Linked DNA regions of Rhinolophus ferrumequinum. The protein of the gene in region 2 purifies or fractionates together with the protein of the main gene of each other region. This does not show direct contact. Links are inferred from orthologs where the notes say so. Each region holds a gene or a part of one and is shown on either strand. Other genes may lie near its edges. The genes, in order: ISG15 and HERC5.

Region 1 (5,725 bases), on a different chromosome or scaffold from region 2:
AGGTTTCAGGAAGTTTAAGTTAGTTTGTAACTATGCCCCAATATTAACCAAAGGCCCCTTTATAAGTGGCTGTTGTAATTTCACAAATAGGATAGTAAGGTTTATGACTAGAATTTAAATATTTTGTGGCTATGTTATTAGGTGTACACAACCTTCTACTGAGAAGGTGAAAACCTATTGTTATGCGACCTTCTGTGTCTCCAGTAAACTTTGCCTATAAGATTTCTTTATTAATATATTAATAAAATTGTTAAGTGGCCACATCTGCTTCCTTTTGGTTAACATTTGTATAGTATGTTTCTTTCCATCCTCTTTCAAATTTCCTGCATTCTTATATTTCAAATGATTCTTGTCTTCTGTAAGCCACATAAAGTAAGATTATTTTTCACCAGCCTGACAATCCTGGTCATTTAGTCCCCCTGGATTTCGGACCTCTGGCCTGCAGACCTGTGAGGGAATAAATTTCTGTTGTGTTAAGCCACCAGTTTGTGGTAATTTGTTATGACAGCCCCAGAAAACTGACAGGTGAGCCCTAGGTTCTGTCAGTTTGCCTCCTTAATGCCTTTGTATTTAGTTCCTCCTGTCAAAAGCAGAAGGACAATTGGTGACATGGGATGAAGTAACTAACAGAAAGGGAAGATTCTAGTACTAAATGTCAGTATTAAGAAGTCAGGAAAAAAAAAAAAAAAGAAGTCAGGAGAGGGCTGGCCCGGTGGCTCACATGGTTGGAGCTCCGTGCTCCTAACAGCAAGGTCGCCGGTGGGCTGCCGTGTGCTGCCAGGAGCGGCCGGTGGCCACTGTGAGTGGCCAGCGTGAGTGGCTGGCTGGCAGCTGGCGAGAGCTGTTGTGAGCTGCTGTGAGCGGCGGATTGATGACTGACAACCGACTGCCTGAGCTGGGGGGAGCGCAAGGCTCATAATACCAGCAGGGGCCAAGGAGATGTGTCCTACACAACTAGACTGAGAAACAGCAGCTTGAATCCGAGTGCGCGGGGGAAGGCAGAAAAAGGGGGGGGGAAGAAGTCAGGAGACATAGAAACCATGTTTAATAATGGTCATCTGAGGGGGGTTGGAGGGATTTTAACATTCTGCATGTTCTTTTTTATTGTTTCAAAAAATGCTGGTGGTTTTCTTTTTATAATACCAACATTATTTATGCAAGGAATGAGTCAAGATATAAACTTAAAATAATAAAAAGAAGTTAAAAATCAGTTTGGTTTTTTCTTGTGTGTTAACAATTTTGGTGCCCTGTGAGTTTTTTTTGGGGGGGACATGGAATGGTCAAGATTCATATTCAGCGTTTTTTTTTTCCCAACTTGCAAGATGGCGGGTGAAAAAGCTGAGAAGCCGGACACTAAGGAGAAGAAACCTGAAGCCAAGCAGGCTGATGCTGGTGGCAGGGTTAAGAAGGCTAACCTCAAGGCCAAAACGCCTAAGGAGGGGAAGCCCCACTGCAGCCGAAACCCTGTCCTGGTCAGAGGAATCGGCAGCTATTCCCGCTCAGCTATGTATTCCCGAAAGTCCATGGACAAGAGGAAGTATTCATCAGCTAAAATGAGGATTGAAAAGAAAAAGGGGAAGGTTCTTGCTACTGTCACAAAACCAGTTGTTGGCGACAAGAATGGTGACACCTGAGTGGTTAAACTTCGCAAAATGCCTAGATACTGTCCTACTGAAGACATGCCTCGAAAGCCGCTGAGCCATGGCAAGAAGCCCTTCAGTCAGTAGGTGAGAAAACCTGGGGCTAGCATTGCTCCTGGGACCATTCTGGTCATCCTCACTGGGCACCATAGAGGCAAGAGGGTGGTTTTCCTGAAGCACCTGAGCAGTGGCTACGTGTGACTGGACCTCTGTCCCTCGATCGAGTTCCTCTGCGTAGAACACACCAGAAATCTGTCATTGCCACCTCCACCAAAATTGATATCAGTGGTGTGAAAATCCCCAAACATCTCACTGATGCTTACTTCAAGAAGAAGCTGCATAAGCCCAGACACCAGGATCTCCAACACAGAGTAAGAGAAATATGAGATTACAGAGCAGCGCAAAATTGATCAGAAAGCCGTGGACTCGCAAACTCGGCCAAAAGTCAAAGCTGTTCCTCAGCTCCAGGGCTACTTCCATTCTGTGTTTGCTCTCACAAATGGGGTTTATCCTCACAAACTGTTGTCTACATTAATTACGAAGAACCTAATTAAATGCCTGAACTGTTAAAAAAAAAGATTCATATTCAAAACATTTTGTTTTTTTCCACTTTTACTTTTTTATATTAGACTTTCTTTATTTATATCTAACTTATGCCTGTTATGTGCTATTTGTAATAGTAAAAATTGGGTAACAACCTAAATATTCAACAATGTGGGATGGTTAACTAAATTACATTCTACACAGTACTGTAATGGACTCATTATACTAAGGGGAACCATTAAATGGTTGCATTTTATGGAACCATTAAAACAACTAGCACAAAGTATCTATTAATATGGAAAGATGTTTATGATACACTGTTATGAATAAAGCAGGAGTATAAGGGTTTTTCAGTTTTGTTTTTTATTGAGGTGAAATTCATGTAACATACAGGTAACCATCTTAAATTACATAATTGAGTGGCATTTAGTATATTTACGATGCTGGGCAGCCATCACCCCTATCTAGTTCCAAAACATTTTTGACAGCCACAAAGGAGGCCTTATATTCATAAAACAGTCACTTTCCACCCCAACCCTCCCCTTGGCAACCACAATTTTTGGTCTCTGTGGATTCGCCTGTTCTGGACATTTCACATAAATAGAATCATACAGCATGTGGCCTTTTGTGTCTGGCTCCTTTCACTGAGCATAATGTTTTCCAGGTCCAAACATGTCGTAGGGGGTGTCAGGGCTTGGTTCCTTTTTATGGCTGCATAGTATTCCATTGTAAGGTTAGGCTGCATTTTGTTGATGCATCCATCTGTGGATGGATTTGGCTGTTTGTACAGCTTTTAACATTTGTGTATTGTGACCAGTGCTGCTATGAACATCTGTGCACAAATACTTGTTTGAACACCTGCTTTCAATTATTTGGGGTGTATATCTTGGAGTGGAATTGCTGGATCCTATGAAATTCTGTTTTATCTTTTTGAGGGACGACTAGACTGTTTTCCACAGCCATCATACCATTTTACACTCCCACCAGCAGCATGTGAGGACTCCAATTTCTCTACATTCTCATCAACACTTGTTATTGTTGTTCTTTTTTTTTTTTACTACAGTCTTGCTAGTGGGTGTGAGGTGGTGTCTCATTCCGGTTTTGATTTTCATTTTCCTAATGACTAATGATGTTGAGCATCTCTTCATGTTTGTTGGCCATTTGTATATTTCCTATGGAGGTATGTGTATTCAATTCCTTTGCCCAATTTTTGAGTTATATTTTTGTTGTTGAGTTGTAAGAATTCTTTATATACTATGAGTTACTAGACCCTTATCTGATATATGATTTGCAAATATTTTTTCCGATTTTTGGGATAGTCTTTTCACTTTCTCCATAATGTCCATGAGTTTTTTTGTAGAAAAGATACATCCCTTTCATTAAAAAAAAAAAAAAAAAAAAAACAGAAAAAACACCCAAGCTGAACAAATATTGTCCAAAACCAGTGGTAATTATCTCGGGGTAGTTTCGAGTGTCACTATTTTATGTTATTTCCCGAATACCCATGATCGTGCTTTCTAAGTTTACTAATTTTGCAAGTTGGTAAATGGAGAGTGAAACGCTCTAATCATTACTTCACGTTTCTATGACTTTTGTGAATCACATAAAGGACTTGGATATGTAGGGAGTTTCTGAACATACACGCCTGCGGGGGGGAACGGGGGCGGTTTCTATTTAGTATCCCTGGGCTCACCTCCTCCGCGTCTCTTACAGTTTTTCAGATTTGTTTCTGCTGTGGGGCTAGCCTTGGGAAACGGAAACTGAAACCGAAGAGGACTTCAAGGGCCAGTGAGACTGGCTCTCAGACACGGCGCCCCGCCCTCTGACGTGTGTAGCTCATGTTCAGAAAAAGGCTGGGCGGTTAGGGCCGGGAGGAGTTGCGAGCGGAGAGGCAGCAAGCTCATCACTACCTGTGGAGGACCTGGTGCCAGAGCCCACAGCCATGGTGAGGCGGGTTGACAGGTGGGGCAGGTGGGCTGGGCACTCGTCGACTTGTCTCCCCCTCCCCTTGGCAGGACCTGGGGGAGGGACAGAGCACCTACTGTGTGCCAGACCAGTGGAGCTGCAGAGCTCCGCAGTTTCCCAAGTGTGGTGCAGGGACAGGGCTCCCGACGTCAGGGTCTTGGTCTTGGAAGGTGGGTTCTGCCCAGTGGCCAACTCTGAGGTCCCTTGGGGGGCATCTTAGCTGAAGGGAGGCAAAGTGGTGGTCGTGGGCGGCTGGCCGTTCTTCCAGAGAGGACCCCCTTGTGCGTCTCCAGCGCCTGGGGTCCCTCTCTTGGTGGAGAGGACCCAGAAGAGGGAACAGCGTCCTGGAGCCTAGGGGCTTGCCCTGCGGCCAGTACATAGCGTGTAGAGGCCCGAGGACTGGTGCCAGGGTCTCTGAGCTCCGTGTGTTGCACAGATAGGGGAACTGAAGGTGAAGATGCTGAGTGGCAAGGATTTATTGGTGCCCCTGAGGGACTCCATGCTTACAGCGGACCTGAAGCAGCGGATCGCCCAGGAAACTGGCGTGCCTGCCTTCCAGCAACGCCTGATCTCCCAGTCGTCCGGTGCGGAGCTGCAGGACAGGGCTACCCTCATCGGGCAGGGTCTGAGCCCCGGCAGCACGGTCCTGCTGGTGGTGCTGAGCGACGACCCCCTGAGCATTCTGGTGAAGAACGAGAGGGGTCGCAGCAGAGCCTACGAGGTCCAGCGGACGCAGACGGTGGCTGAGCTCAAGCAGCAGGTGCACCAGCAGGAGGGCACGCCTGCCGACCAGTTCTGGCTGAGTTTCCAGGGGAAGCCCATGGAGGACCAGCACCAGCTGGGGGAGTATGACCTCAGGCCCCATTGCACCGTGTTGATGAACCTGCGCCTGCGCGGGGGCGGGACGGGGCCAGAAGGGCCACGCTGAGGTCCCCACCGAAGTTCCCACCCAGTGCTTTAATAAAAATTGATGCCAAGTTAATTGGCTGCCTCTGCGTCTGCCCTCGCCCTACTCCCAGCACTCTGGCATCTGCCAGTTCTCCATTCTGCACCCCTGCTACTGAGCTTGGGGGAGGGGAGGTGGAGGGAGTAGGGCAAGGGGACCCAGGGTCCTTGGGTGGTTACCAGGCTGGGCTACCAAGTAAGAAGCAGCCTGATGGGATCAAAATAGTGAATGCCCACCCTGGAGAAATTGAACATGTGTCCCCACACCTTTGGAAAACTAACTGCTAGAGAAAGAGAAAGAAGCACATATGGAAACCATCCCTGCCCCAGGTGGAGCCGTGGTCAGCCCCTGCACAAATGGTCCCCCTCCAACATCTGGGTCAGCAGACAGCACAGGGGAGGGAAGGTCTGGTCAGGTCCCAAAGGCCACAGGTGAGGTCCCGACGGGGACCAGCACCCCTGGAAGTGGTGAGGAAGTGAGTCCCTAAGACCTGCCTGGGGGTTGTGGGTGCAGTCTCCTGGCCCTCCAGGGCCCCAGCAGCCTGCCCTGTCCAGCCTGCATTGGTCTGGGGAGGGGTGAGGACAGGGCCTTGAACACACATCACCATCGGGGTGAGCTGGGGAACGCAGAC
Region 2 (7,303 bases):
ACAACATCAACGTTAGAATTATTAACTGTAATTAGGATTGAAGCTCAAGAAAAAAATTATTTCAATTTATTGCCTCATATTCAGTACATCTAAATTATAAAAAATACAATATATTTTAATTATTGTTTAAAAGGAAAATAATGTGCATTATGTAACTGTAATAAGATGATTCTCAGACTCTTTTGCAAACAATAATTTTATGATGCAAGAATAATAAAAGATGAAAATAAGCTCTAATTCACATGATCTACCAGGAGAAAGTCTCACAGACCATGCCATGAAAATGCATTTTTTTTCCTAGGTTGAAAACTTTTATTTCTGGAAATCTAATTTATAAGATTATTATGAGGTTAAGTGAGTTAATGAATATGAAAGTCCAATTTGGGTCTACGCAGACTAACCAATCATTTCCTTTAAATGTCAAAGCAATACTTGGTAAGTGTTCTAGGAGACAAAAATTGATTTGTAGTTTACTCAAGGAATTAACTAGTCAGTTCAAAATTCATTGTTTACTTTAAATGCCATGACCAGTTTACTGTAAATGCCAAGATGTGAAGGAGGGACAAAGATTATATAAAGTAACATTTTTCTACAAAAACTATGATTGACTTTTGAGTAAAACTTTAAAATTTTTTAACGAAAGAAAAAAGTTCCCTACCTTGCATGTTCTATGCTATAGTTGTACTCAAATGGTTTGCCATCTGAGGATAGAATCAGCATGTGATCTGCTCCTTGGTCCACGGAATGTATCTTCATTTTTTTTCCTAACTTAATGCACTCTGCAGAGCAAATCCAACCAGAAACTATCATCACTCTGATTATTACCCACTGTTATTAATGATTTCATTACAATACACTTAAAACACGTGGGGGGAAAACTTCAACTTTGACTTAATAAGAACTTCTCTTTAAAGAAAAATCAAGTACAGAAAGCAGACAAATTAGTAATGACTACTGTCTTGACAACTGATTTTTTCTTTTAATTTGGGAAAGCACTGATTTATACTGTTTTTTAAAACAATTAAAATTAGATATTAGATTCCTATTTAACAAGTTGAGAAAGAAACTAAATTTAAAGAGACAGAAATGAAAAAGTCAGAAGAAAGAAAATACAACAATTTTTGGACAACATAACTCACCGTAGGAGCAAATATAATGTGTATTCTGAGCTGTACTCTTTCCAAAAACAAAACAAATAATAATAAACCCCTCATGGACTGCTTCATATAAAACCCAAGGCTTATATTCTTAAACTGTGTTTGAGGGACGGGGATGATGTTAGAAGAATTTTTAAGATTTGAAATTGTCCACTAGTTACCATTTACTCTTACCTCATTTAATTCTATCACAAAAATTAATGTAGGATACAGGAGATTTGGGATCTTGTTTTACTTTTTAGTTCTAACGAAATAGAATTGATTCACGTAAAATCTCAAAGCACAAACCGCTTCATACTATACAAATGCTAGGAGAACCAAAACGGTTTGGTAATAAAGACGAAATGGCCCAACAGATCAACAATTTTGAGTCTCGGCATTTCGAATCAGTTTAAAAAAGAAGGGTTATTCAAAAAAGGTATTGGGATACCTGGGTGGCCATTTGGTGAAAACAAACCAATCCAGATTCCCCTACCTCACTCCTTAAATCAAAATAATATCCAAGCGTATCAAAAACTTTAACTTTAAAAACAAATGCTTAAAATTTCTATAAAGATGAGTGCAAAAAAGAAAAACACTTGTGTGGGTAGCTTTCTAACATAACACAAAATCCGTAAGCCTCCTCAAAAGAAAAGATTAATGAAGTAGAGTATAAAATAACATCAACTAAAGGCAAGTTGGGTAAAATACTACAACGTACATGACTGACAAAGGGCTCCTCTTACTCAAAATTCAAATAACTCTTTCAAAGTAGTTAAGAAAGAGATTAACAACTCAATTTTTTTTAAAAGCCAGGCGAATATACGAACAGGCAGTTCATCAAAAAGGAATGCGACGACCAGTAGCAAAAGAAAAGAAGCTCGACTTCGCTCAAGTTAAGAGCAAAACGAACAGAACACCATTTTCTTCACTTATCAAAGGGCCAAAGTTTTTAACAGTAAGAATGTGGCCATTTGCTTTCCCCCACTTGTAAAATCGGAGTCACAGTACGTGATCTAATCTCCACGGAGATTACTCCCTCGGAGCAGTGCAAGTGAAAGCGCTCCTTCAACTGCTTGCAAATGTAACATATTGCCATCGAAAACAAGATAATTGTGTTCTCCAAAGACACAAAATCGGATACGCTATGTTCTTACAGGGAGCAAGTCAAAAACAAACTTTGAACAGAAACCCCTGATAACGGCCGACTGGCTAAAATGAAGTTGCTGGCAATACACTCCCTCCGCGCGGGTAACTTGAGGAGAGCACGATCTACTACTTCTCGCTACTACCCCGCAAACTCCGCGCTTTCTAGGAGCAGGATGGAGACCTCAAGGGTGCCGCACGCGCGAACGCGAAAAACCACCCAGGCCCGGCGCCTTTCTGAGGCACCGCGGACCGCTACGGCGCCGGGTTCCCTTCGGAGTTTCCCTTCCCATGTACAGAGGGACCGCGTACCCACAACTCCCGCCACCCTGGAGAGCAGTGTCAGTGCCCGCGCGCGCCCCGAGCTGGCGTTGCCCGGGCCCACTCACTTGGCTTCCTGCCGCCGTCGCTCGCCGCCGGCAGCTGGTGCACCTCGACGCCAGCCCCGCCGCGCTCCAGCACCACCAGGCGCCCGCGCGTGCAGCACATCTGGCGCATCACCTCAGTTTTCCGGAGCAGCGCGTTGCGGAGGCCCGGGGCCGTGGGGAAGAGCCAGAGCTGCGGGCCCCGAGGCTCTGCGGGGGGCCGGGTCGCGGCGGGCCGGGAGGTGGGTGGTGGCGGGGACTTGGCGGCCGGCCGGAACGTCGAGCGCGCGCCGCCCCGCGACCTCCTCGGTGGCCTCCGCTCCATCGCCGCTTTCCTAGGCTCCATAGCCGCACCTCCGCTCTTCGGAGACGGGGCTTCAGCCAGCCGGGAGGCAAGAGGAAGGAGAGAAAGGGCCAAGGCCTAAAAGATTCCACTGCCCTCAGACGGCGCGGTGCGGAGCCGGCGAGCGAACTGCTCAGTGGCGTCGAGGGACCGCCCGCACCCCTACTCCGCCCCTACTCCGCCCCTGCTCAGACGCCAGCCTCCCAACGTGCTGCGGGCTGGGGGCGGAGCCGGCAGGTCTAGTGGGAAACGAAACAGAATTTTTTTCAAGGGGGCGGTACCGAAACGGAAACTGGAAGGGAAACTTGAACCTTTCCTGAAAGGTTTGCGAGACGGCCGAGGAGCCCAGGTCGGTGGCAGGTGATGAGATGACTGGCGGGGCTGAGAACGCGTCCCTGGGCGGGCAGTGGCCATCTGAACTACTGGACCAAATGGCCTTCGAAGAAACAATGCAGTTCCACTAGGAGGAGCCCTAACACAGTCGGACTTGCAGAATTTCCAAAAACTAAGGCAGTAAGGAAAGCTCAAGTTTGTGATGAAAGTGATGAAAGTGAAAATATGTACCCAGTCCCTCCGCTCACACCGCGTTGCCTGGCAACCAGGGATCGGCTTTCTGCCAATATAGTTCTTGCCTTTTCTAGAATTTCTCACAAATGGAATAAAACTTATGCAGGCTTTTGTGTCTGCCGTTTTTCATTATCATAATGCTTTTGAGATTCATCCTGTTGTTTTCCGTCAGAAGTTCCCTCTTCATTATTGTTGAGTGGTATTCCATTATATGTATATACCACAATTTGTTGATCTGTTCAATTGAAGGGCATTTCAGTCCTTTACAGTTTTTGACTACAATGAATGAAGGTGCTATGAATATTCGTGAACAGGTCTTTTAGTGGATCAATGTTTTAATTTGGGGGGAGGAATAAATACCTAAAAAATGAAACTGCTCTGTCAGATGGTAAGTACGTGAATGTTATTGTAAGAAACTACCAAACTTTGGAATTCCAAAGTGCTGTACCTCCAGCAATTTGCATTCCCTCCAGAAATTTATGGGCGTTCCAATTGTTCTCTATCTTTGCCAATATTTCGTATTATCAGTCTTTGCCAATATTTCGTATTATCAGTCTTTTTTAATAATAGTCTATAGTGGTATCTTATTGTAGTTTTAATATCCCTTTCCCTATGTTTAATGGTGTTGAGTTTTTTTTTATGTGCTTCTTAGTGCTAATCTCTCTTTGGTGAAGTGTCTATTCATATCTTTTGCCCATTTATTCAATTGCTTATCATCTAAAAGCTCCATATACATCAGAGTTCTTTGTTATATATCAAGTCTTTTATTAGATATTTGTTTTCAGATGATTTGTACCAATCTGTGGCTTGTCTTTTAATTTTATTAAACGTGTCTTTTAAAGAGCTAGCGTTTTAATTTTGATGCAATATTTTTTTTCTTTTACCTAATTCATGCCTTTTTTGTCCTACTTAAGAAATCTTTGCTTAACCCGAGATTACAAAGATTTTCTTAAATATTCTAGAAGTTTTATAGTTTCAGGTCTTTGTCACATTTCAAATGAATTCTTGTTTATTGTGTGAGGTAAGGGGAGATGTTTATTTTTTTTCTTATGGATTTCCAATTGTTCGAGATTGCCTTTCCCCATTGAATTGCCTTGGCATCTTTGTCAAAACTGTTGATCCATATATGATTGCATTTATTTCTGAACTTGTTGTGTTCTATTGATCTATATGTCTATTTTTACTCCCATATTACACTGCCTGGAATTACTGTGGATTCCAAGTCTTAAAATAATTCAAGTGTTCCATTGTTGTACTTCTCCATTGTGGTTTTGGCTATTCTAGGTCCTCTGCATTTTCATATATATTTTATGATTAGTTTATCAATTTCTACAAAACAGCAGGGATTTTTGAGATTATACCAAATTAGATCAATTTGGAAAGAATTAACATGCTAATAATATTGATTCTTCTGTCCACAAGCATATCTTTCTCCATTAATTTAAAGCTTCTTTAATCTCTTCCAGCTATATTTTCTAGTTTTCAGTGTATAGTCAAACATATTTTAAATTTATCCTGAAAAAAATGCATCCTCAGGTATTTTTTTTGTTGATATTGCAAATGATACTTCTTAAAATTTCAATTTATGAGTGTTGTGAGTATATACAGAAATACAATTAATTTTTATATACTTCCCTGAATCCTGAAACCTTTCTATTTTTAATAATTCTAGTAGTTTTGTAAATCCCTTAGAATCTTACACATAGATGACCATGCAGTCTATAAATAAGATAGTTGTACTCCTTATTTTCCAGTCAACATGCCTTTTATTCTCTCTGGCCTATTGTATGGACTAGTACATCTAGTACAATGTTGAATACAAACTATGAGACATCCTCTCCTTGTTCCCAATTTTAGTAGGAGAGCATTGTCTTTCACCAGAAAGTATGAAGTTAGCTGTGTGTAGGCTCCAACAGGTTGAGTAAGTGCTCTTCTGGTCTTAGTTTGCTAGGAGTATTTATCATCCATCAATAGCTATTAATTTTGTGAGGTTTTTTTCTGCCTCTGTTGTAATTATATGATTTTTTTCTGTCTATTATGGTGAAATATAATGGATTTTCAAATGCATTTCTGGACTAAACCCCACTTAGTCACAAGGTATTAGCCAAAAATTTTTTAACATATTTTTGTGTCTATGTTCATGAGGGAGATTTGTAGTTTCCTTTTCCTGTAATGTCTTTGTCTGGTTTTGGTATTAGGATAATGCTGGCCTCATAGAATCAATTGTTAAGTGTTCCCTTATTCTCTGTTTTCTGAAAGAGTGCAAAGATGTTTAGTACAGTTCACCCATTGGCATTAGGAAAAGTAATGTTGGATGTTAAAGGCCTGACGAACACAACCCGAAAGTCAGGGGCCTGAGGATCCTTAAGGTTTAGATAATACCTTTTCCCTTAAAATTCAAAAAGAATATATCTGGGTCTTCATTCCATTTGTTGCAGAAACCGAACATGTCCAAAATAACTGAGGATTCGCTGGGGGGGCTTATGTTTCTACTGACCACCTCATATTCTATTGTCCTTGGTGAAATCTCTATCTCTGTTCTATCTTCAGGTGATCCTGCTCTCTTTCCACATTAGCACCCCAACGTGGACTTTACCCCATAGGCTTCCCTTTCCCAAAGTACCACCAACACAAGGCTCTGTGTATGGCTTGAAATAATAGGCATTTATAGAACAGCTTAGTTTAAAATTTAACATTAGATAGAACTCATCACAAAATTCATTGGTCATTTCCAACCATACTTACATCTCTTCTTTAATTTACTCTATAGCCATGATGCTGAGACATATTTCAGGTTCTTCACATTTCCCCAGTTATAATTAAACAAGAGTTCCTGGTTGGACTCAGTATTTTTAACCAAAATAATGATGTCTGCATTTAGAATGATTGAGCATAAGTAATTATTCAATGAATTAATGAATCCCTTAACAATTAGATTTTCAGATTTTTCAAAAAAATTATTCATCATTTGGTTAAAATTAAAACTCTGGCAATATTCCACAGTATAAAATATACATCTATATGCCTCAAAATCATGTTGAATTAGTTTACATTTTTGTTTATTTTTTCAGACTTTCATATTTGCAGGCAGTGTTTATTAGATGAATAATATTTTAAAAAATATGTTAGTTTTTAATATTCAGCCTATTTTTAAATGATAATTATTATTCAGGAAGTAATTCAATAAACATTCTAATAGCAAGTTTAGGTATCAGGAAATATGATTCATTAAAAATATTATCTTGATTCATCACTTTATTGTTTATCTCAACATTTATCAACTAATTCTAATTAAAATCCATCAACCCTTTGTACTATGTAGACCTGAAGAAGAACATCACAATCACAGGTGAGAGAGGACCTGAGAATCTGAGGTCTCACTGAGACTCTCAGAGGTCACTATTACTGTGTGACCTTGGTTGTGACAAATCCTCTGTTACTGTTGATGGCTACTTGAAGTGCTTCTTCCACTCTTTCCATTGTAGAATATTTAGGAAGGTCCAGAATATTATGACATACGAGTGATCTTGGGCAATCTGTTTCACTGAAAGTTTCAGGACAGCGAAATATGATTCCCATTTCTTGTAATCCTCTTACAGGCTGTCTATCAGTTCCTGTAAGAAAAACTAGAAAGGAATAACCTTTGGTTATTTCCTAGAAAGAGCAAAACTTAAAATGAAAATGAAGAAATTAATCACTTCATTCAATAAATATTTATTGAGTATCCTTGTGTAGAGAAAACTACA

What was found.
Region 1: the proteins of HERC5 (region 2) and ISG15 purify together in Homo sapiens (affinity purification with western blotting; 3 studies listed by BioGRID, with this or other methods). This does not show direct contact. The link is inferred for Rhinolophus ferrumequinum from reciprocal best matches to the Homo sapiens genes HERC5 and ISG15.

Annotation. Positions count from the first base shown.
Region 1 is NC_046292.1:228,639-234,363, forward strand, and holds ISG15 (ubiquitin-like protein ISG15), read left to right. Parts: upstream 1-3,989; 5' UTR 3,990-4,125; coding exon 4,126-4,128; intron 4,129-4,584; coding exon 4,585-5,076; 3' UTR 5,077-5,150; downstream 5,151-5,725.
Region 2 is NC_046288.1:42,409,599-42,416,901, reverse strand, and holds the start of HERC5 (E3 ISG15--protein ligase HERC5), read right to left. Parts: upstream 3,132-7,303; 5' UTR 2,994-3,131; coding exon 2,672-2,993; intron 780-2,671; coding exon 659-779; intron 1-658. Other genes in the region: probable E3 ubiquitin-protein ligase HERC6, read right to left, coding at 6,960-7,183.